Linked DNA regions of Pelodiscus sinensis. The protein of the gene in region 2 interacts with the protein of the main gene of each other region in a biochemical or structural test. Links are inferred from orthologs where the notes say so. Each region holds a gene or a part of one and is shown on either strand. Other genes may lie near its edges. The genes, in order: SHC2, KDR and HSPG2.

Region 1 (7,247 bases), on a different chromosome or scaffold from region 2:
TGCGTGGCTGTGAATCTGGGCGGGCCCCAGTCCTCCGCCCCAGGCCTGTCCAGAAAGATCCCTTGTGCCGTGGCAACAGACCCTCCCAGCTGGAGACCGACCTTCCCAGCCCCGGCCTTCTGCCGTCTCGACGCGTTCGCATGTGCTGGCCCCGACCCTGCGCGCGTCGCCGGGCGCTCTCGCCTCTCCCGCGGGCTTTGCGCTGGCTGGGCAGGCGCACGCGAGTTCCGCACGGGCACTGAAATAGCAGCAGTAGGGCTCAGGCGGAGACTCGGGCTGGCCACGGAGCTCACACCAGGGTCGGGTGGCTCCAGAGCCCGACCTGCCTGAACACCTTAGAGCCTGGGCCCGGGCGTGCACCGTTCTGGGGGCCCAGCAGGCTGGGGAGGGAAGCCCCGTCGTTTGCCGCTCTCAGCCCCCCGGCAGCGGGAGCCGGGCGTGAGGCGCCCAGCAGCGGTGGGAGGCCCTTGGGGAATATACGCTGGGAGCCGGGCAAACAAGGCTGCCGGAGCATGGACAGGCCAGATGCCTCAGACCCTGCTGGGGGGCCGCGTGCTTTTCAGGTGGTGGGGGAGATCTGGCTCCTTTCTAAACAACCCCTCCAGCCCGATTCTGCCCGCGGCGGGGTCAGCGGTCACACCCGGGCGCGCGAGGGGGAGATGGCTCCCGCCTCGGCCAGCCCCGCCGGGCCTCTTTCGCCCACGGGCCGGGCAGGCTCCCCCTGGCTCCCAGCACCCCGGGCCCTGAAATCAGAGTCGTCGTGTCAGGACCCAGCCGCAGGCCCAGTGGGACACGCACCCCCGGCCCCTCAAGCCACACGCAGGCCTCAGTGTTAAGACCTGCAGTCCCAGGGCGTGGGGGGTCTCACTGGTGTCACCGCCCCACAGTGCTTCCTGGGGCGGGTGGGGGGGCAGAAATGATACAAGGCAGAGCCCTTTGGAAACCAAAGCTCAAACCAGCCCATCACCATGGTAGCTGAACCCCTCCCCACCTCCGAGGGAGTTCTCACAATCCCCTGGAAGGCGGGGCTATTACCCCCTCCCCTCCCCACCACGTACAGCCAGGGAAACTGAGGCAAAGCTAAACTAAGCGACTCACCCCTGGAGTCTGTAGCGGAGCAGGGAAACGAACCCAGCTCCCCAAGTCCCCTGGGCCCTCGTCCCTCAGCCAAGCCGCCCACACAACTTTGGAGACACTTGAAGGCAGACTCTGCCCTGACCAGCAGCTCGGCCGAAGTCAACGCTGTGGTGTCAAGCCAGCCTGAAGGAGAACAGGAGCCCGGGGGACCGTGGCTGATGCTGGCCTGGGAGTCGGGGAGCTGGGCTCTGCTCCTGGCTTCACCCCAGTTCCACTGTGCAACCCTCCCTGCTTTGTGCCTCAGTTTCTCCATTCCTGGCTCCGGGGAGGCGTTAATACCCCACCCCCCAATTCTAGGACTCAGTTCATCAAGTTGTGCCTGGAGACCCCTGCCCAGCGAAGGACGAGGGCTCAGTGCTGCGGGTTTTAAACCAGGGCCAATTGGCCGGCCGGGGCCAGGTTTCCCCCAAAGGGCTCAGCCCGTAGATAAGTCCCAGCTGACGGGGCGGAGCGGCGGCCGCCTTTGGCGATGCAACACCAACCCCTCCCCAGGCCGGGTGACAGCTGGGCTGTGGGGCCTTGAACAAAGAGAACTTGAAGGAGCGAGACCCTCGCGACTCTGGGGATCAAGCAGGGGAAGCCCCCAAACCTCCCTCCCCCCATGGCCGGGGGCACCTGGCCCCTTCCCAGCTGCCAGCTCCTAGCGAGAGGCGCCCGGGCAGCGCAGCCCCCGTTCAGCGCCCGCTGGCTCAGCGCGGGAGCCAGAGCCAGGTGGGCCCGAGGGGCGGGGAGGCTGGAGAAACAGGCTTACCCTGACGATGTAGGAGACCCCCGGTCCCAGGACCCGCTCGTCCGGATGGAGCCAGCCTTGCGCCGGCTTGTTGATGAAGCTGCCTTTCCGGTTCCATTCCTCGCCGGCCAGCTTGACCCCCTCGACCCGAGCCGCCTTCCTGCCGCCCCCGCCTCGGAACCGGCTCATCACCTGCAGGGAGCAGGGAGAGTGGCAGACCGGCTCGCAGGCGCTCAGGACAGCGGCCAGGCCGGAGGAGGGCCCCCCAGCCTCTCCGGGGCCCCCCGGCTTGGCCGGGGCCGACAGGTCCTTGCTGGCGCTGGAGGGGCTGCGGCTCAGGAAGCCGGAGGGGCTGGAGAACTTCCACTGGGGGATCCTGGGGATGAGCATGCAGAAGGTGGTCCCGGGCTCCTGCTCCTCCGGCAAGCGGGCGTCGCCCAGCGGCGGGCAAGGCTGTGCCAGGGCGGCAGGCGCCGAGGGGGCCGGGGCGGCGGCCGCCACCTGGCTGCTCATGGCTGGGTCCTCCGAGGGGGTCACTGAGCCATTGCGAAAGCGGCCATACTTGGGCTCCGGGAGCATGCCCTGCCGCTGCCTGCCTGGCTAAGTGCTTTTAGAGTGCCGGCCGGGCGTGCTCTGCGCCGCGCCCGCTCGCTGGCCTGCCCCTCCGGCCCCCACCCCCCGCCTCCCGGGGGAGGCTCCGCTCACACAATGATGTCATGATGCTATTGCTCAGCAGCAGTGCTGCCGCAGGCCTGGCCGGCTCGGCTCCCCCCGCCGCACACGGCATCTGTCAGCACTGGACAGAGGCAGAGCAGTCGGCCAACAGGCCGAGGGAGGAGTCCCTGTCGCACGCAGCCTCTGGGGGTGGCTCTGCCCGCTCGGCAGGTCCTGGGGTAACGGGCTTCGTCTTCCAGCTTCCCCTCCCACCCAGGGACCCTGCCAGGGCTGGGGCTCGCCAGCCACCGGCACTAGCAAGCTAGCCTGATGGCCTTCCCCTGCACCCCCTTGTCTCTGCCAAGCAACGGGACCCCCCGGAGCCCGCAGGAGGGGGAAGGAACGGGGAGCCCACCCCCAGGGATTATAGAGCCGCTTCATGAAACCCGACGGACTGTTCCAATCAGCTAGTCCGACCTCCTGCAGGTCGCTCGCCAGAGACGGTCACCTGGCGCTTCGTGCAGGAGCCCAGCCGTTTGTGGATGAGCTCGAGAGAATGTTACCAAGCCGTGGGGACCTGGGAGAGGGCCCCCCCCCAACCAGCCAGGGACCTGGGAGAGGGCCCCCCCCCCAACCAGCCAGGGACCTGGGAGAGGGGCTCCCCCCAACCAGCCAGGGACCTGGGAGAGGGCCCCCCCCCCCAACCAGCCAGGGACCTGGGAGAGGGCCCCCCCCCAACCAGCCAGGGACCTGGGAGAGGGCCCCCCCCCCAACCAGCCAGGGACCTGGGAGAGGGGCCCCCCCCAACCAGCCAGGGACCGGACAGGCACTAGTTCTCCAGCCAGTAGGGAAGGGACTAGAGAATGAATCAGCCACTGACGGCATTTTGCAGCAATTGACGAGATAATGTCAGGACAGCTGTGGGTCAGATTCTGCCCCCAGTTACATCCCGTGCAACCGGCTCACTGTGGGCCCCTTCGCCTGCTCAGCGGCTCACCCACCTGGAGGAGCTGCCACGAACGGCTTGGGCCTTGCCTGGGCTTTTTCTGTTAAGTGTCTGGGATGGACCCCGACCTCTGTGGGGAACGAGCCTCTTGCTGGGGCCCACGGGTGCCACCCAGCACCGTCAGGGGGCACCGCTAGAGAATTCGGCCCCACGTGTCTCCTGGGAGATGGCAGTTCCCCACGGCAGCCTCCCGTCGCCGGCTGCCCACACACCCACCCGAGCGACACCGTCGCAGGGTCTAGCCACAGCCACAGGGGCTCCCTCGCCCGCCCAGCCACGGACGTGACACGCGCCAGCACGGGGATGTCAGTAGCGCTTAGCAAGCCAATCGCTGGCATGTCCATCGACCAGTCGATAAGGGGATTCGCCACAGCGCTGCTTCTCCGCTGCACTAAACCGCCAGGCTCTTACGCTGGTTACAAAGCAGAGCCGCAGCATCGGGGACCCAGCCTGAGCCAGGACTGCTCAGCCCCACTCGCCCCCTTTCCCCTGCTACCCCCCACAGAGACAGTGCTGGGGGGAGCCACTTTTTCAGCAAGCTCCCCCCAGCACCGGCTCCTGCTCCCCCCTTGCTGCCTCTGATAGAAGAGACGGCAACTAGTCGAGTCACTAGCATGGTTCTGGGCCAAATCCGACGGGCTCTGCACTAGAGGACAAAGGGCCACGCGCTCACCAGCGCCTCCCTCTGGCCAGGCAGGGAACCAGCTCCCTGCATCAGAGCGCCCTCTGCTGGTCAGGATCCCAGTCTCTGGCACAGGTCTGCTGCCGTTCAGCCCCTTGGCCCTTCCCTCCTAGTACTGGCCTAGGTCAGTGCCCCTGCTCTCTGGGTCCTCCCCTCCCTCAGGACCCCCAATTCCCCCACACCCACCTTGCCTCAGTGACCCACTGCCAGGCATCATCACACCCCTGCCTCAGGGGAACTGCAGCCTGAAACAGCCACTCATCATAGGTAAGGGCGGGTGGACCTGCTGCCACCTAGCAGCCCTAATCCCCTCAGGCCCTGCAGCCCAAGAGCCGAGCCAGGCCAGGCCTCTCATTTCCCCAGCATCCAAGACCCAAGTGGAGCAACCAGGAGTCTGTCTCCTGCCTCCAGGAGCCCTTATTTATACAGCACCAGCTGGGCCCTCATTGGCTGTACCTGCCCCAGCTGTGGGCTCCACCCCCTCAGCCTTCTCCCAGGGCTGGGTTTTAGCCCTTAAAGGGCCAGAGCAGACGCCCCGGCACAGGGACACAGCTCAGACATCAGGGACGGTAACGCACATAAACCAGTACGCCAGGGCTGGGCACAGGATGGATTCACAGAGCGGCACTGTGATCTTTTCAGTTTTGTTTTCTACCCCTCTGCTGATGGTCCCTAATGTCGTGGTCGCCTTTTTGACCAGCGCAGACACAAACCAGTGGGGGAACACGTCGGCCTCCCTGGACCTTCAGCCATGGATTGGAAAGTGCCACAAGAGCACTTCGAAGCCCGGTTACAAAGGGAGACAGCGGAACTGGAATTCATTTGCAAATCCAACACTCTCTCTCCATTTCGGATGGAATACAGCTCTCCGCTGGCTAGCGCACTACAAAGGCAATTTCCCCTGCTTCCCGTCACCGCAGTGTTCATGCATCTTAAATACACTGATGAATTTAGCTTCACACCAGCCATGAGATGTGAGGAAGTGATATCCCCATGGTATGAACGGGCAACCAAGAAACAGAGAAATTAAGTGACTTGCCCAAGGTCATGCAGGTCTTCTGTGGCAGAACTGGGAACTGAACCTAGATTTCCCAAGCCTCTTCCTCACAAGCCTGTCCAGTCTTTGCACAGGGTGTGGGGGAGGGCGTGAAAACAGACGAGTCACTTTCATTCCTATTCGCTGTCACTCTCCAGCAATGGTGCTCTGATGCCCTGTTTGCCTGGCAGAGGGATGTTTACCTCTTTCACAAAGCTGTTTCCAGCTGGCGTCACGCACACGTCCCCGTGGCCTGGGGCTCTGTGAAGCGGTGGGTGTCACCGAGCCCGTGTTTTGGTTCCAATTTGGCCATATGGTGCCACCCCTTAAACAAATTGAAATCTAATTATTTTCCCAATCCACCTAGGAGCTTCCTCTGCAGACGATGATGAAAGGGAGACAGGCAACCGACAGAACCTGCTAGGCTCGCTAACTCCCCTCCCCCGCCAAGAAAGAGGCGTGGGGGGAGCAGATAGATGATATCGCTAATGACACATGAATTAAGAATCAAAGCCTTGTTTTCAAACTCCACATTGCATGTGCCAGCGTCTCTGTTTTCTGCTTCTCCTCTCTGCCTCTTTCTCTCTCTTCCAGGCAGGTGATGGGACGAAAGCCAGTAATTGCTCTGAGTGCGATCAATAAATCAAGGTAATAGAATTACATTTGCTGTTGCCATATTAAGAAATGCTTCTCTCTCCTTGGTTCTAGTTGTTTTCTTTTCTTAACCAACCTCCAAAGCCTGGAAGGGAGAAGGGCTCTGATGTTCTTTAAAGCTCCAAATGTGCTTCAAAGGGTTGAGTCGGGGTGTGGGGGAAGGGGTCATATGCTCTGCTAGAAGTGATTCCAGATCCGTTCAGGCATTTGCTAGTGTGCAGCTGACTCTGTTTTCCTCCGTGTCTGTTAGCTAAGCGAGATCAGGACTTGGCTGGAAGACCTCCACGGAAAGCCCAGGGACATGGAGTAGGCACTGCTGCATTTGAAGCTGCTTCTTCTAGCTGACTTCCTCTCGTAAACTGTTTTGCAGTGTTGTCCTGCTGCCATTCAGTCCTTGCCATGTTCCAGCCTGCATGGAGTAACCCTTAGCTTGTTGCCTGCTTCGAGCAGAGGCAGAGGTGCAGAGAGGCTTAGCTGGGGGTGACAGTAACTTACAGGTACTGTTGTATTGCTCCCCCGCGGGGGGCTCAGAGCAGGGCTTGGGGTGTGTGATATCACAGCACCTGTAAGAAACTCAAGTGTGGAGTGGCATGTGGGGGGCTCAGGACAGGGGTTTGGGGGGTGGATGTGGGTCAGGACAGAGGGGGAATGTGGAGGGTGCAGGAGTCAGGAGGGGCCCAGGGCCGAGGGTTGGGAGGTGAGTGGAGGGGGGCAGGAATCGGGGCGGGGAGCATGGGGGGCTCAGGGCAGGGGGCTGGGGAGGAGTGCAAGGGAACCAGGGGACCCTCAAGGGAGGCCAGGGGGCTGAAGCCCTCCCCCAGTTCCTACTGATGGCTTGCTACTTGCTGCCCCCTTCCGCCACTGTCCGGGAGCAGAGCAATGCCCACGGCGGGGGTCCCTGGCTGCTCTGCCCCCTCCCCGCACCAGGCGGGGGCGCCGGGCACTTTCCTCGCCCCCCCCCCGACAGTGATGGGCGGGGAGCAGCAAGCCACAAACAGCAGCAGTCGGAATGGGGGGAGGCCAACCCCCCCGGTCTCCCTAAAGGGCACGGGGGGAGGGGGAGAGGGTCAGGCCTGGGCGCCCTCAGCCAGCTGCTCTCACCTCTGGGCCCAGGGAGTGTGATTCACGGGGACTGGCCAAGCGGGGCCTGGCTCCCAGGGCCCGTGGGAATAAGCTGCTCCCGCACAGAACCGTGGCAGGGCCGTCGGCTCGGCCGGGCCGCAGGGTCACCAGCCTCCAGGGCCGGCCTGGACTCCCCAGGCACCGCAGACTCTCCAACGGAAGATTCTGTCGTGCGATGAAACCTCCAGGAATGCGTCCAGCCAGACCCGGCGACTCCCCTGCGCAG
Region 2 (7,544 bases):
ATGAATTCTGCTAAATTATTTTGCATAGTGCATCATAAACTCAAGGTCATTTGACCCAGTCTTGTTTTCCTTTATCGCATTTTCTAATGTATCTCCTTTGTTGCTTGAAACCCTAAGAAAACCTGTTTCTATCAAACCTTATTTAGGTGATTGGTTCCACGGCATTCGGGGAGAATACTCATGTCAGTTAAAGCTTGCAGATAATTTCCAATATTTGTTCTGATGTAACTGTCCTGCCCATGCAACCTTTCAAAGAACACAATGAGATGTTTTTGCCATTTATTATCATACTCACTCCCTTTGGGAATTCTGTGTCAGTAAAGGATGAGTACACATATCTGAGTAAGTTCTGAAACATTGCCTTGGCCAGACAACACGGCGTACTTAATGCAAATTCAGATGTACAAGGAGCAAATGAGTGAACGTGCACAATAAAATGAACAGCGATGGTACAGACTGGACCTCCTTTAACCAGGACTCCCTGGTTCAGCATCGTCCGTGGTCCATCCTAGACCACAGATATTCCTGGACCATAGAGCCCAGGAAGAGGGCAGTCTGGCAGGAACACTGTAAGGGGCACCGGCGACTCAACCGGGAGTCCAGAGTGTGTATGTGCGGTGGGGGAGGAGAGACAGCATGGCAGGGAGTTCTGGCCCCAGCTGAGCTCCCTGGCCCCAGCAGCAGCCAGGCCTGGCCCTGGCCAGGGAGCTCTGACCCCAGCGGCAGCCAGAGAGCTCTTGGTTCCAGCTATGGAGCTCCTGCTGCATTCTGGCTCCAGCAGCCACAGAACTCCAGCCCCAGCAGCCAGGGAGCTCTGGCCTGGGCCGCGGAGCTCTGTCCCCATCCCTCCACCCCAGCCACAGAGCTCCAGCCCCAGCTGTGGAGCCAGGTGGCTACAAAGCTCTGCCCTGGCTGTAGTGCCAAGCAGCTGTGGAGCTCTGCCTCACTGACAGTAAAGTCATCCTAGAGCTAGGGGCTTCACTATCTCGCCACAATTTCATCATATTTTTATCAAACCTTTCCTACAGAGATTCTTTGACAATAGGGTTCAGATAATTGATTTCTGTTGCACTTTACTGTAGAAAGCCATCACTAAGGTAAAAATTTGAATTAAGAAGGAAAATCAAATCAAATTTATAACTTACTCTTTATCATAGGATTTGCAAATAATGATTTATCTAATCTAATCGTCCAGCAAACAGGTTTAAATCTTTCTGGACTAAATCCTCCTCCCATTTGCGTGCCTTCAACAAAACTAGTGTACAGCTAAATAAGAGTCCCTAGAAGTGTTCGATACTAAAACTGAGATTTTATTCTCATTCAGTGTTGCTTTGTTAGACGTAAAAACTAAAGTAAAATAAGCTCCATTTAGTCAAGAATGTTCAGCCTTAGTCAAACTGACCATTGTATGGCTAGATTGTTTTCTTCAAGGTGAAACATCATGCCATGAACTAAAATTACTCTTATGCATATCTCTAAGGAGAGTATTCCAAAAGAAAATACATTGGTAACTTACATATGCACTTCAAAAAAAACATGATATACAAATATGAGGATCAATAAAATAGTATTACTTGTTGTGTAAACATGCAAATGTTTGGTATTAAATTAATATCCATATTATAATAGTCAAAATGTTTGAGTTCCAAACACAAGCATAATTTTAATTATATGAATATCCATATTAGAATAGCCAAAAAAGGTTATTTTTGTGTTAGACACAGGCATTATTTTAGTTAACTTCCAAGTCATCCCAATTTATTTAATTTCTGCTAAAATATTAATTTCAGTATGATTGTTATCACTGGGCTTAGTCTCAGTCTAAATAGCCTCCTTTAATGAGAAAGAGAATAGCATAAATGTATCATGTTGAATTTCAAGAATTTTGTACCACTTATTCCCAAGACAACGGTATAGTGAACAGGTGATTATTTCCAGGCACTCCACTCATTCTTGTTTAGGCTGTAGAGGCAGGAGTTAGTTGTATTTTGTGTCTTGCACAGCATATTGTTAGCTCCTCACAGACAGAAGGAAACTCCTTTTCCCCCATCTTGTTTCCCCATTCCCCCCTTTTCGTTAAGATCTGCCTTGGCCATGGGAAAGTTTGGCAAAACTGCCTGGCGCTTGGTGAGTTTTCTACAAAAGATGCAGGGATGAAATTATGGCTCCATCTCTACACATGCTGATCAGCCTGCATGGTCACTCCAAATTCTCCTGGTAAAGCCATGGCCTGTGCACCTGCCTATTCTCTCGTGCAAGGCACAGGATGTCCTGTCCTTTGCAGCACCTGAGCAGGAATAAGGAACAGCCTCTTCCTCTGGAGACCTCAGGGGAAGGAGGAGGCCATGGCCAAGGCTAAGACCTTTAACAAGCTCCGTAGGCAAAATCTCAGCTGGAGCTATAAATGGGGGTGACTCCCTTGGCTTCCCTTTCTCAACTCACCCAAGAAGACCGTCCCCAGGTCACCAGGCAACACAAGCCAGGGGCATAGGGTGAAATCCTCCCTCTACTGAAGCCAAGACCAAACCCCCCATTGACTTCAACAGGGGCAGGATTTCCCCGGGGGGTTTATTCCGCCTGCCCCAGTCCCTATGTTCTGGCTCCATGCGGTTCGCTTTGGGGGCTGGGACAAACCTCCCGTCGCTTCCCACGGCAGCAGGATCGGGCCCTGCTGCATCTCCGGGGTTAGCCCTCGCCCGGCTGCTCCCATCAGAGCATCTGCCCCGAGGCTCTGGCACTTCCCGGCGCGCCTGCCCAGCCTGGTCTCCCCGCATCTGCGCTCCATGGGCCGGAACCCCCCGGGCTCCCCGCGCGCCCCTCACCTGCAGCCGGCGGGCTCCCCAGCCACAGCAGCAGCGCCAGCGCCACCGCCACCGCGTCCTCCATCGCCCCCCGGGAGCGGGCTCCGGCTGCTGCCAGCGGCGCCTTGTGCGCAGAGCGGGCGGGCGGGCGCTAATCCTGGTGCCGCTGGGGCGAGTCTCTGCGCCCTGGGTGCGGGCAGGGCCGCTCCGCGCGAGCTGGGGCTGTGCCAGGGCATCGCAGCCGGCGCCCGCAGCGCCTCTTCTTTATTCCGGGGGAGGAGACAGACTCCTGCGGTGCCTCCCACCTGCCCGCCCCCGGCCTTCCCCTCGCCCCGCCTCCCCTGGGGCCTGGGCGCACGTGGCCGCTCAGCCCGCTGCAGTGTAGTGGCCCAGCAGCGCCCTTCGCCCCCAGCTTGCAGCGCTCAGACAGATGGGCTTTTATCGAGTGACCAACCCTCGGCCTCTCACCTCCCCTGCCTTCAGTGGGGCTTAACCATGGAGGGGGCTGGTGCATCTGCTTCTTTAAGCACTTGGCTGATCCTGCAGAGTCTTAACATCATGATTTGAGGACTTCAGAGCCTGGGGTTTAATTACAGACATAGGTGTTGGAATGGGGGTGCTGCAGGTACTGCCACACTACCTGGCTTGAAACAATAATGACAACCCAAATCCATGATTTCCACCTTCAGCATTGCCACGGCACCACTAATTACAGGAATGGGAGAGAATTTTGCAACTTGCAATGTGCAGGCAACTAGATCATGATGGTCCCTTTTGATCCTAAAGTCTATGAGATTCACTGCAAACACTGATGCATTTTGCTTAATCCATCCCAGTCAGCAGGCTTTATTAGAGAATAACAGCCCAGAGACAATCAATTTGGATCATATAGCCAGTTAAAGACTGCTGGCTTCAAGTACAATTCCTGAACATAAACTATATGTGCTTCAGCAGCAAGATCTTGTAAGCACTAGCCCTGGGGGGTTCCCAAACTACTCAGACATCACAGCTAAGGGAAAGGATATTTTACTTGGGCTGGAAGGAAAAGGAAAACTTGCAAATACCCTCTGTACAGAGCCTTGGATTAAAAAGTTGCAATTCTAAGTGAGCAATTATTGTAAGCATTTGGGTCCTTGGAGGTGGTGCAGTAAAGAGTGGGGGCTCTTCAGACCTAATGCCTAAGGTGCCCTCTCTGGTCCAGTCTCTGTTATTCATATCAAATAGGATCTTGTGGGTTTCCAGGCAGGCTCATATAGGCCAAGTCCAGACTAGCGAGCAATGTCAAACTAAGATACGCAAGTCTAGCTACATGAATAGCTACAGCTACAACTTACCACAGCATCCCTACTTTGAGGGCTCAACAGGAAAAACTCTCTCATCAACTTCCCTTTCTCTTCTTGGTCCAGTGGATTATCAGAGTCGACAGGAGCGTGATCAGCGATCAAATTAGCAGGTCTTTTCTAGACACGTTAAATCGAATCCCAGGACATCAATCTATGCAGCAGTATGTGTAGACAAGTGTATCACTGGGCTCCCTCTGCACTTGTTCTCTGCCCAGGCACTCCTGTTCCCCCACAAGTCCTACATAGACTTTTAATGTCTGGCAGTCACAGCCTGTCTACATATAGTACTACTGCATATGGTTCCTGTCTCCACCTTTTAACCAGCTCCCTTCTTGCAAGACAAGATTGAGAGGCAACTGGAGACAGGGTGTATGTTTGTGAAACAAACAAACAAACAAACAAAAAAGCAAGCTACTCAAGGGAAGGCCAATCACCACATTGGGCACATTGCTTATGTGTTTCTTTAAAGAGCCTTTGTCTCCCTTTTTAAATTGTAAAATCTTTGTAGTGGGGACAGCAACTGTGCCTTCCTTTCTGTTTGTACAGTGTCCAGTAGGGATGTAAAATCCCTTTTTAAAAGTTAAATGGTTAAACGTTATATTGAGCGGGTTAACCAGGATCCCACAGACAAGGGGGTCTCTCCAGCCCAGCCAGGCTGGACCAGCCCCCTGCACACAGTAACTCCTACTCCACCCTGGGTTGCTCCGCCCAAGCTGGGATGACTGAACCAACTGTGCCATGGATGGTGGAGCCTGGGGGACTGCTCAAGCGGGGCTGGGCCCACAGCAATTCAGCATAGACCAGCCAGGCCACCAGTTAACCAGTTACCCACTTAACCCTTTACATCCCTAGTGTCTAGCACACTGTGATCATCCCTGGAAACAAATAAGTCAGTGATGTGGGCTGAATAGCAGGGGAGGAAGGTGACTTTTGCCACAGCTTTTTGGATGTTCTGGTAAAGAACAAATTAAGGAAGTGTTATTTACCTCTTCACATAACAAGATACTGTAAAATCTGGAGTATAATGTGCACCTATGTATAATGAGCATCCGCCTTTTAAAGGTCAAAATTCTTGAATAAACTAAACTCTTATCTATAATCCGCACCCTCATTATACTCGAGATTTTAAGGTATGCATAGGAAGGAAGGGGCTCGCGCCTGCTGCGGGGTCCCCCTGCCCAGCTGAACTCATGCAGGCTGAGCTCACACCTGCTGGGGGAGCCTCTCCAACCCAGCTGTCCGCATGCCAAGCTTGCGCCTGCTGGGGGGGGGTGTCCCCCGCCCAGCTGACAGCACGCTGAGCTCGCGCCTGCGGGGCCCCACCCCACCCCAGCTCAGCCCAGCCCCGCCCAGCTCATGCCTGCTGAGGGTGAGTTTAAAACTTTTTTAAAAACCTCCTATAAATAATGCGCACCCCGACTTTGATGCTAAAAAAAACGGGGGAAAATTGTGCATTATATTCGAGATTTTACGGTACTTGGTGATTACCTAATGAAATTAATAGGCGGAAGATTTTTTTTTAAAAAGGAAGTATTTTTTCACCCAATGCTGTCAGCCTGTGGAACTCATTGCCAAAGGATCTTGTGAAGGGCAAAAGTAAAACTGTGCTAAAGAATTAGATAAGGTCATGGAGGGCATGGTCATTAGCTAACATGGTCGGGGACTCAACGCCATGGTCTGGGTGTCCGTAGCCCTCTCACTGCCAGAAGTTGGGATGGGAAGACAGGGGATGGATCACTCAATAAATCAGCCTGTTCTGTTCATTCTCCCTGAAACATCTGGCACTGGCCACTGTCAAAAAACAGGACACTAAAGTAGATGGACTGCCAGAGAAGCAGAGGCTTATAGTTGGCTTCCTGAGTGCCTTCCCCGTTGCTGCACTGAGGCTACGTCTACACTACGAGTTTTCTCGGCAAAAAGCATGCTAATGAGGGCCTCATTTGCATGAGTCGCAATCTCAATTGCATATTTTCTGCTGATCTGTTTTTGCACTGTGGTTTTTGCGCAAAAACAAGCAGTTTGAACATTTTCTCTTTGAGCAAAAACTCCTTTTTCCACAAGATCCTTATGCCCCAAAAAAGGAGGTTTACCGATCTTGTGGAAAAAGGGGTTTTTGCGCAAAAATAAAATGTCCTCACTGCTTGTTTTTGTGCAAAAACCCTAGCACAAAAACAGATCGTCAGAAAATATGCAAATGAGATTGTGACTCATGCAAATGAATCCCTCATTAGCATATTTTTTGCAGAGAAAACTGGTAGTGTAGACATAGCCTGAATGTATCTTGACCATAACAGAACATCTTAGCCCTTCATGTGAGAGCTCATGACTAAAGGATCCAGTAGACTCAGATTGCCTGATTCTGCCTTCCTCCGAAAACAGGAACTAGAAGGCTCTTTATAGAGTGGCACAGATGAGATAATTTGTCAGACTTGGAGGGGACTTACGGAAGGCTCCCAACAAATCACCTTGTTTTGTTTTTTGTTGTTGTTGTTATTCCCTGGAGAGTCAACCTGTTTCCCTGCAGTAGTTTAATAAAAACCATTTCTCTCTCCCTCAGGCTCTAAACTAGGAAAACCCTGTATTTTGAAAACAATCAATGGGCAAGATATGTGTAAATGGGGGAGGACAAACATCTCCCCTTAGCTAAACAGGGGCCAACATGCTTTTGTTTATGCATCTGCTGCTGTGATGGCCAAAACCTCATTAAATACAAGACACAAAGAAACAGCAAAGACTTTTGGAAAGGGATCAGGCCAGAGGCTGGCAGCTCCCCTGAGTCATTCCCCCTTCCCTCTCCCCTCTGACATAGTCACGACTCCTCAGCACTTTGCAGCCAGCCAGGACCCTGGCTTTAGGAGCCTGGCCCGGACAGCCAGCAGCAGCAGGGCAGACAAGCAGCCTTTTGTTTTCTTAATTATTTCAAACAACATCCTGGGGAAGATATGGACTGGTGCTGAGGTTCATAGCCTTGGCTGCTTTAGCCCAGGAGCTCTATAAATGGCCTCTGTGTATATCTTCCCAATGGGCCACTTCAACCCAGTAGCACCAGCAGCACAGAATGCAAGGCTATCAGCACGGCAGCACAAATGCAGACTGCACATGAACATAAGTATGGCTAAGCACCAGGGCTCAGATCCTCCATGATATTTAGACATCTAACCCCCACTGATTTCACCTACATACATTTAGGCACTAAATCCCCATTTTACCTATTTAAAAATGGTCTGATTTTCAGAGGTGCTGAGCATCAAAAATTCCCATTGACTTTACTGGGATGTTTGAATGTTCAACACTTCTGCAGATCAGGTCACTTTGTTTAGTGGATTTAGGAGCCCCTGACTGGCCAATGGGAGCTGAGAGATTTTGCTGGAGGTGGGGACAGTGCAGCACAATTAACCAC
Region 3 (7,732 bases), on a different chromosome or scaffold from region 2:
GCAGGGCGGACCAGGCCTCAGAGTCTTTCTGCTGCCCCCACAGCCATTTCCATCTCCACAGGACTCCACTGGCGCAGCTCAGGAACAGCTTTCCCGGCTCCGCAGCCCCTGGTCGGATGCCCCCTGCACTGTGAGCCTGGGCTTCCCAGTCCCCTGCAGTGGTAGGACCAGCCCTACATCTCTAACCTCAGCTCAGGAGAGATTCCCAAGGGAGGAGGCAGCGCAGGGGGGTAGACGTGCCCTGGGCACAGGGCTGGCACCTCCAGGCAGCTCCCCTGCCGTGCTCTAGGTTAGAGACTGGAAGAGCCCCCTGGCCCCGGCTTTAGCTTCTCGAAGAAGGCGGCACATATCCCAGGGCACGGCCGACCAAGCGCGTTGCCTGGTCCCAGCCGAGGGCACCGGGTGAGCAAGCCGGGCTCAGGGAGAGATTCCTGCTCTGTATAAATACTACAGCAGAGTCACTCAATCCCTGTTCTATTTCCAGCCTTGTTTACAATCCTGCCTCCCCTCCCCTCACTTCCTCTGCCTCCTCCCCCAGCCCCAGGCCCCTCCCCACCTGCTGTGGACACTCTGCTTGGAGAACAAGCCTGGGCAGGTGTGGGGGGATGGGAGGGGGGAATCTGCCACTCACAGGACCCCCCTCCCATTCACTCTCTGCTGTTGGTGACTATGACCCTCCAAGCCCCTTCCTGGGTCCCCTTCCAGCCCAGCACACACGGCCCCCAAGCCATGGGGATCCCTCCACCCACCCCGGCACATTCACAATCGCTGGCCCCAGGAGCCCCTGGCCAGCCCAGCTCCTGCTTCCTGCACCCCAGAAAGTGCAGCCCAGCCCAGCCCACAGCCAGGACTCCTGGGTTCTATTCACAGCGTCACTGACTGGCAAGTCCCCGTCTCCCCCTGCGCCATGGGATGGGGAGACCAGGGGACCAGCCCCTCCTGGATCCGCTTGGGTAGCCAGGCCCTTCTCACTACCCAGCATGCACTGCTCCGCTGTGGTCCAAGTGGCCTCTGCGCCCTGCCAATGCCCTGCCTGGGGCCACACAGAGCCAGGCCACTCCGGGCACCATGTCCAGTGCCCGGCCAGGGCTCCAGCCTTCACCCCTCCCCTAAGCTGCCCTGGATGGGAGGCCCCCACGCCCTCAGAGGGTCAAGCTGGAGGGACGGGCTCCTGGCAAGGCTGAAGAGTCTCCCAGGCTGCCTGCATGTTCTCAGGGCCTGCGGCCGCGCCGACACAGAGCTACCCATTGTTCCCCACGCAGCGCTGTGCGCAGGCCGCGTGGGCGGAGAGCAGGCAGGACAGACTGTGGAACAGCCCCAGAGCCCCCCGCTCCCCGGCACTGGAGAGCTTCAATTGGCGCCAGGATAGGGATAGCCGAGGCCTCTGGGTGGGGGCGGAGGGTCACCAGGACTGAGGGGTCCAGGGCTGGGATAGCAGAGGTGGCAAGTCAGGACTGAACAGCATCAGTAATGCCAGATGGGTGCAGTGTCTAGCCAGCCCCATACCTGGCAATGCTGTACTGGTAGCAGTGCCCAATGGGTGCAGTATCTAGCCAGCCCCGTACCTGGCAATGCTGTACTGGTAGCAGTGCCCAATGGGTGCAGTATCTAGCCAGCCCCGTACCTGGCAATGCTGTACTGGTAGCAGTGCCCAATGGGTGCAGTGTCTAGCCAGCCCCATACCTGGCAATGCTGTACTGGTAGCAGTGCCCAATGGGTTCAGTGTCTAGCCAGCCCCATACCTGGCAATGCTGTACTGGTAGCAGTGCCCAATGGGTGCAGTATCTAGCCAGCCCCGTACCTGGCAATGCTGTACTGGTAGCAGTGCCCAATGGGTGCAGTATCTAGTCAGCCACGTACCTGGCAATGCTATACTGGTAGCAGTGCCCAATGGGTGCAGTATCTAGCCAGCCCCGTACCTGGCAATGCTGTACTGGTAGCAGTGCCCAATGGGTGCAGTGTCTAGCCAGCCCCGTACCTGGCAATGCTGTACTGGTAGCAGTGCCCAATGGGTGCAGTGTCTAACCAGCCCCGTACCTGGCAATGCTGTACTGGTAGCAGTGCCCAATGGGTGGAGTGTCTACTGAGTCCCACACCCAGCAATGCCGCACTGGTAGCGGTGGGAAGAAGGTGCAGTGAGAGCCCCACACCCGGCAGTACCCAGCCCTGAACCTGGCAGTACCGGCAGTACCGAAGGGGTGCACTGTAGATTCTGCCACATAGCTAGCAATGACAGAGGTGCCCAGTGGGTGCAGTGTCTACTGAGCCCCACACCCAGCAGTGGCAGCAGCAGGGGGCACCACCAGGAGCTAGCTCTTGCCAAGGGGCCAAAAACCCTCCCGGCTCTTTCCCCCACGCTGGCTTCCCTGCTCCTCAGACTTGCCTGGTGGCAGCAGGACGCGTGCAGGGCCAGCCAGCGCCTTGCAGCGCTCACCCAGCGCAGGCCGGCTGGTCGGAAGGGGGGAGGGAGCGGGGCGCAGCCGGGATCGCGCCTGACCCGGGCTGAGCCGCGGCGCTCAGGGCTCGCCCGGGGCAGGCTGGCACCTTGGGTGCCCCTCCCCCGGCCCAAGCCACGTGCGCACGGGAGGTGCCCCGAGTGTCCCAGCCCCCCGGGCCGGGCTGCTCTGGCCCTCGCCGGGGAGCCGCGCCCCGGGACCCGGGGGTGGGGGGAGCTTTATTTTAAGGCGGCTGGTCTTTGCCGCGTCCGCTCCACGGAGCCGGGGCTGCTGCTGCGCGGGGCCGGGGCAGCCACGTTCCGCGCCCCGCGCCAGCCCCGCGGGCCCCGGCCGCCCACTGCCCCCGCCCGGACTTACCGGCAGCAGCGCCGCCAGCAGCAGCAGCGCGCAGGGCGCCCCCAGCCCCATGCTCCGGCTCCGGGCGCGGCTCCCCAGCGCGTCCTGCCCGCGACCCGCCGCCCTTTGTCTGCTCGGGCGCCCGCTCCGGCCACTGGCAACTTCGCTGCGCTGCCCCGTCCCAGCAGCGCCCCGAGCTCGGCTCCCTCCCGGCTGCCGCCCAAACCCGGCCTGGAGTCCCGACTCCGGAAGGGAGCTGGGCGCCGCGGCGGGGGGAGGGGGCACGTCCTGAGCAGGGAGGGGCCCCCTGGACACCAGACCGGGCCCGCTCCGTGGCCATCGCTTGCCTTGCGCCTCAACCCCCAGCTCCAGGAGTCCTGGGATCGGGGGAATCTCGCTGGGGCTGTTCAGCCAGTTCCTAGCCCGGCGGTCACAGCTGGGCGCAAGGGCTCCAGGCAGGGGGCACAGGGCAAACTCTGCCACTAGTCAGTGACTGAGCCGGCTGCAGCCCCCCCCCCCCCCCCCGCCGCCCCTGGGCGCCCAGCGCTGCACAGATGCAGAACACAAGGCCTTGGGGGCCGGCCTCAGGTGTGCAGGCCCCGCGGTGTCCTGCTGTGTGTGACCCACCCCCACGGCCTACAACCGAAGGACTCGCAACAACCGGACGTGCTGCCTGCCCTCTCCGGGGCTTGACCGCTCTGCCCGGCCTGCCCTTTGTGTCCTGCCCAGCAGACGCGGACGCAGCCAGGGGCCCCGGTCCAGACAGTCTGCTCAGCTGACGTGTGGGGCACGTTCTTGCCGAGTCCCTTTAAAGCAGCGTGGGCGGGTTTCCTCGCTGACCCGGTGGGGACAGGGCCCCGACCCCTATCCCCCCCCTAGAATTGGCCCCTGATGGCAGGATCGGCGCAGGACTGACTGCAGGATGCAGTTCCTGATCCTGCTTCGCTGAGCGTGGTGGAGGTGCATGGAGCCGGGGCGAGGGCCAGGCTAGGGCGGGGTGCAGCAGGCAAAGCAAGCAGCATGCACAGCTGGCCACGGCGCGCACTCTTCGTTTCCCGGGGGCACCCTTTCTCACTGCGACTGGCTGGTTTCCCATGGCTTCCTCCCCGGGCCTGCAACTCACACCCTGCCGGGGCTCTGTGCAGCGCAGCTGCTGGGTTAGCGAGCCGCAGAGCAGGGATGAGATACGCCACGCGGGTGCCAGGCTGGGGGGTGGGCAGACACCCCCAGCAGGGTTCTCCTCTGCACTGGGACCGGGATCTGATTGCCAGGGGATGCTGGGAGACTTGCCCTAAAGGAGCCACAGCGGGAGACTGAGCGGGAGGCTTCCAGCACTGCGAGTCTGGGCTGCTCCAGCTTACGCTAAAGGAGCTCACCCCATCAGCTGGCCCCTGTAGTAGGCTCTTCTCTTACGGGCACCTTGTGGCTACGTCTACACTGGCATAATTTTCCGGAAATGCTTTTAATAGACAAGTTTTCCGTTAAAAGCATTTTTGGAAAAGCGCGTCTAGATTGGCAGGACGCTTTTCCGGAAAAGCACTTTTTGCAGAAAAGCGTCCGTGGCCAATCTAGACGCGCTTTTCCACAAAAAAGCTCCACTCGCCATTTTCGCGATCGGGGCTTTTTTGTGGAAAACAGTCCTGTGCTGTCTACACTGGCCCTTTCAGAAAAAGACTTTTGCCCGAACGGGAGCAGCATAGTTTTTTCGGAAAAGCGCTGATGATTTTACATGAGATCGTCAGTGCTTTTCCGGAAATTCAAGCGGCCAGTGTAGACAGCTGGCAAGTTTTCCGGAAAAGCGGCTGATTTTCCGGAAAAACTTGCCAGTCTAGACACAGCCTGTGCGTTACCGTCAGGGAGTGGGCAGCTCCCCCTACGGGCCCCCGGCCCCACCTTGGATCAGGACGGTCACCTCCTGGCGGCTCTGGGGAGGGGGATGAGGTGCCCGCAAGCCCACAGCCCAGAGCAAACCTCGCCAGGCCAGGCATTAGAACTGAGGAGGGCTGCAGGCCTGGGCGTGGCAGGCAGCACCGGGCACTGGGCGGACGGGACCAGCTGGAGCCCCGCCGGTTTGCTACAAAACGCAGAGGTGGCTTTGCAGCCTCCTGCCCCCCGCGCTGCCTGGGGGTGGGGCACTGGAGCCCATCGGGTTGGCATGTGACGCTGTCTCTGGCCTGCCTGTCTCTCCCCAGTGCAACCCGCAGAGCAGGGGAGCCCAGCCAGGACCCCCCTCATGTTTCTGGGGTTACTGCTGCCTCTGGGACGCAGCAGGGAGGGGCATGAGCCTGCAGGGCCCAGGCAGCCACACAGCTCCTGGCTCCTACCCTGGGGATGGGCCAGGAGTGGGGGAGGGGATGGAGGATATCGTCTCGTGGGGGGGATTATAATTACTTTATCCATCTCCGAAAAGGCCAGTGACTCGGCTGCTGTCTCGCAGCCCCCATCCCGCCCAGCAGCGCCTGCCCAGCATGCCCAGCTCACCCCCCCCCCCCGGGCTGGGAGGGGCCTCCGTGCACCACCCTGGGACCTGCAGGGCTCCAGGTGCCATCAATGATTAACTGGGGACTTTCTGCATGAGGGACTGCGGGGGGCAGAGGAGGGGGGCCTGGAGGGAAACTGCAGGAGCAGCCGTAGAAGCCAGACCCCTCCTCCTCCCCCCCCCCCCCCCGCTCCTCCGAGCCAGAGCTAAGGGCGCTTGGCAGTGGCAGGGCTGTGCCTGCGCCCAGGGGTGCAGTCAGGGCCCAGGGAGGCCCCGTGCCCTGTGGAGCACTCTGCCGAGCCGGGGGGCTGTCCTGGTCCCAGCAGGCCTGGCCGGACGCGACCTTCTCTGGGTTCCTGTGACTCACTCGTCCTGCGCTTCCCCCAATTGTTCCACAAGTTCCTTTGCTCCAGGCAGGGGAAGCCCAGCCTGATTAGCAGCAAGGCCAGGCCTGCGCAGCCGCCCTCCCCAGGGCCCGATGGGGCGACACTGCCCCATCGTGGGGGAGACAAATCCGGCCCAGGAGCGCTGGCTGCTGCCAGTCCCCCACAGGCGTGAGACCCCTGCCTCACAGCCCCTCTCCTCTGCCCCCCAGCACCAGCTCTGGCCCCGGACCCCAAGGCCTGTCCTGCCCGGCCCAGAGAGCAGCCCTGCAATGTGCCTCAGCCTGCGTGTCTCTGGGGAAACACATTGCCCAGGTCCGGCCCTGGCCTGTGTCAGCAGGGGAGCCTTGGGCCTTGCAGGCAGGGTGCCAGGCTCACCAGAGGCTCCCCCCCCCAGCTGGTCTGAGCAGTGGGGTGAAGCTGGGATGGTTCGGCAGCTCGGAGGCTGAGCTCTCTGGGCTTCGATCCCCTTGGCCCAGCGCTCGACGTGCCGCAGAACCGGACCTTGCGCGTGACTTCGGCGCCACTTTCCAGAGGGGCCAGAGCGGCTGCCGCCGCGAGGGGCAGGGCACTGGAACCGGGGCGGCTGGTAGGCGGGGGTGCAGCACACTGCTCCGGGTTCTTCTGTGACCGGAGCGCGTTTCCCCAGCCTGCGCGAGGAGTCGTTCCAGTGCTCCAGCTGGGCTGCGATTGGCCCGGGGTTTCCATGGAGCGTCCCATGTGCTGTAGGGCAGCCAGCACCCCTGGGCACCCAGAGGTGCCCCCTCTTGCCAAGGCAGCTCCCCACTTTGCAGATGATGCCAAGCTGGGAGGGGTTGCAAGTGCTTTGGAGGAGAGGGTCAAAATTCAAAATGATCTGGACAAACTGGAGAAATGGTCGGAAGTAAACAGGATGAAGTTTAATAAGGACAAATGCAAAGTGCTCCAGTGAGGAAGGAACAATCCGTCCCACACACAGAATGGGAAGTGACTGCCTAGGAAGGAGAACGGCAGAAAGGGTTTTAGGGTCCTAGTGGACCACAAGTTAAACATGAGTCAACAGGGTGACACTATTGCAAAAAAAGCAAACATGATTCTGGGAGGCATTAACAGGAGTGTTGTGAGTAAGACACGAGAAGTCATTCTTCCGCTCGACTCTGTGCTGATTAGCCCTCAATTGGAGTATTGTGGCCAGTTCTGGGCAGCACATTTCATGGAAGATATGGAGAAATTGGAGAGGGTCCAGAAAAGAGCAACAAAAATGATGAAAGGTCTAGAAGACATGAGCTATGAGGGAAGGCTGAAGGAATTGGGCTTGTTTAGTTTGGAAAGGAGCAGACTGAGCGGGGACATGAGAGCAGTTTTCAAGTATCTAAAAGGGTGTTACAAGGAGGAGGGAGAAAAATTGTTCTCCTTGGCCTCTGAGGACAGGACAAGAAGCAATGGGCTTAAACTGCAGCAAGGGAGGTTTAGGTTGGGCATTAGGAAAAACTTCCTGCCTGTCTGGCTGGTTAAACACTGGAATAAATTGCCCGGGGAGGTTGTGGAATCCCCATCTCTGGAGATATTTAAGAGCAGGTTGGACAGACACCTGCCAGGGATGGTCATGCAGCCAACGGCCCATTTGTTTGCAGCCCGCGGTGCGGTTTGGGTTTACGCAGGGCTCAACGTGCAGTCCATGGGTGGGAGCCAAAACAAAAAAGTTGTGGATATAATGGCCTTCTGTTGAGATGCGTTTTAGTCATTAAATTCCTGGACTGTCATTGCTCATTAAAAGTTCCGTTGGAGATCGGGTAAATCTTGCATTGTATTAATACCAGCAGAAGTGACTTAAACGGGGCCTGCGTGTTGTGTAGTCTTGCCTTAATCTTTGTATTCATGCCTGTCAGCATAAAAGAAGCTATTTGCATATATTTGCATATATATTTGCATGTCTATACAACCACGATTAAGTTGCAGCCCTCGCTACATGCCGTGAGTATCACTGTGGCCCCTGAGGCTTCCAAAATTGAGTAGCCCTGATCTGGATGGTGCTTGGTCCTGCCGTGAGGACTGGGCCTGTCGAGGTCCCTTCCAGTTCTAGGCTTCTATGGCTGCGC

The links.
Region 1: the proteins of KDR (region 2) and SHC2 form a complex in vitro, tested with the Homo sapiens proteins (2 studies listed by BioGRID). The link is inferred for Pelodiscus sinensis from reciprocal best matches to the Homo sapiens genes KDR and SHC2.
Region 3: the proteins of KDR (region 2) and HSPG2 form a complex in vitro, tested with the Homo sapiens proteins (2 studies listed by IntAct). The link is inferred for Pelodiscus sinensis from reciprocal best matches to the Homo sapiens genes KDR and HSPG2.

Annotation. Positions count from the first base shown.
Region 1 is NC_134729.1:15,712,254-15,719,500, forward strand, and holds the start of SHC2 (SHC-transforming protein 2), read right to left. Parts: upstream 3,024-7,247; 5' UTR 2,447-3,023; coding exon 1,889-2,446; intron 1-1,888. UniProt on the Homo sapiens protein: Signaling adapter that couples activated growth factor receptors to signaling pathway in neurons. Involved in the signal transduction pathways of neurotrophin-activated Trk receptors in cortical neurons.
Region 2 is NC_134715.1:85,100,895-85,108,438, reverse strand, and holds the start of KDR (vascular endothelial growth factor receptor 2), read right to left. Parts: upstream 3,052-7,544; 5' UTR 2,887-3,051; coding exon 2,823-2,886; intron 1-2,822. UniProt on the Homo sapiens protein: Tyrosine-protein kinase that acts as a cell-surface receptor for VEGFA, VEGFC and VEGFD. Plays an essential role in the regulation of angiogenesis, vascular development, vascular permeability, and embryonic hematopoiesis.
Region 3 is NC_134733.1:4,171,561-4,179,292, forward strand, and holds the start of HSPG2 (basement membrane-specific heparan sulfate proteoglycan core protein), read right to left. Parts: upstream 3,024-7,732; 5' UTR 2,865-3,023; coding exon 2,814-2,864; intron 1-2,813. UniProt on the Homo sapiens protein: Integral component of basement membranes. Component of the glomerular basement membrane (GBM), responsible for the fixed negative electrostatic membrane charge, and which provides a barrier which is both size- and charge-selective.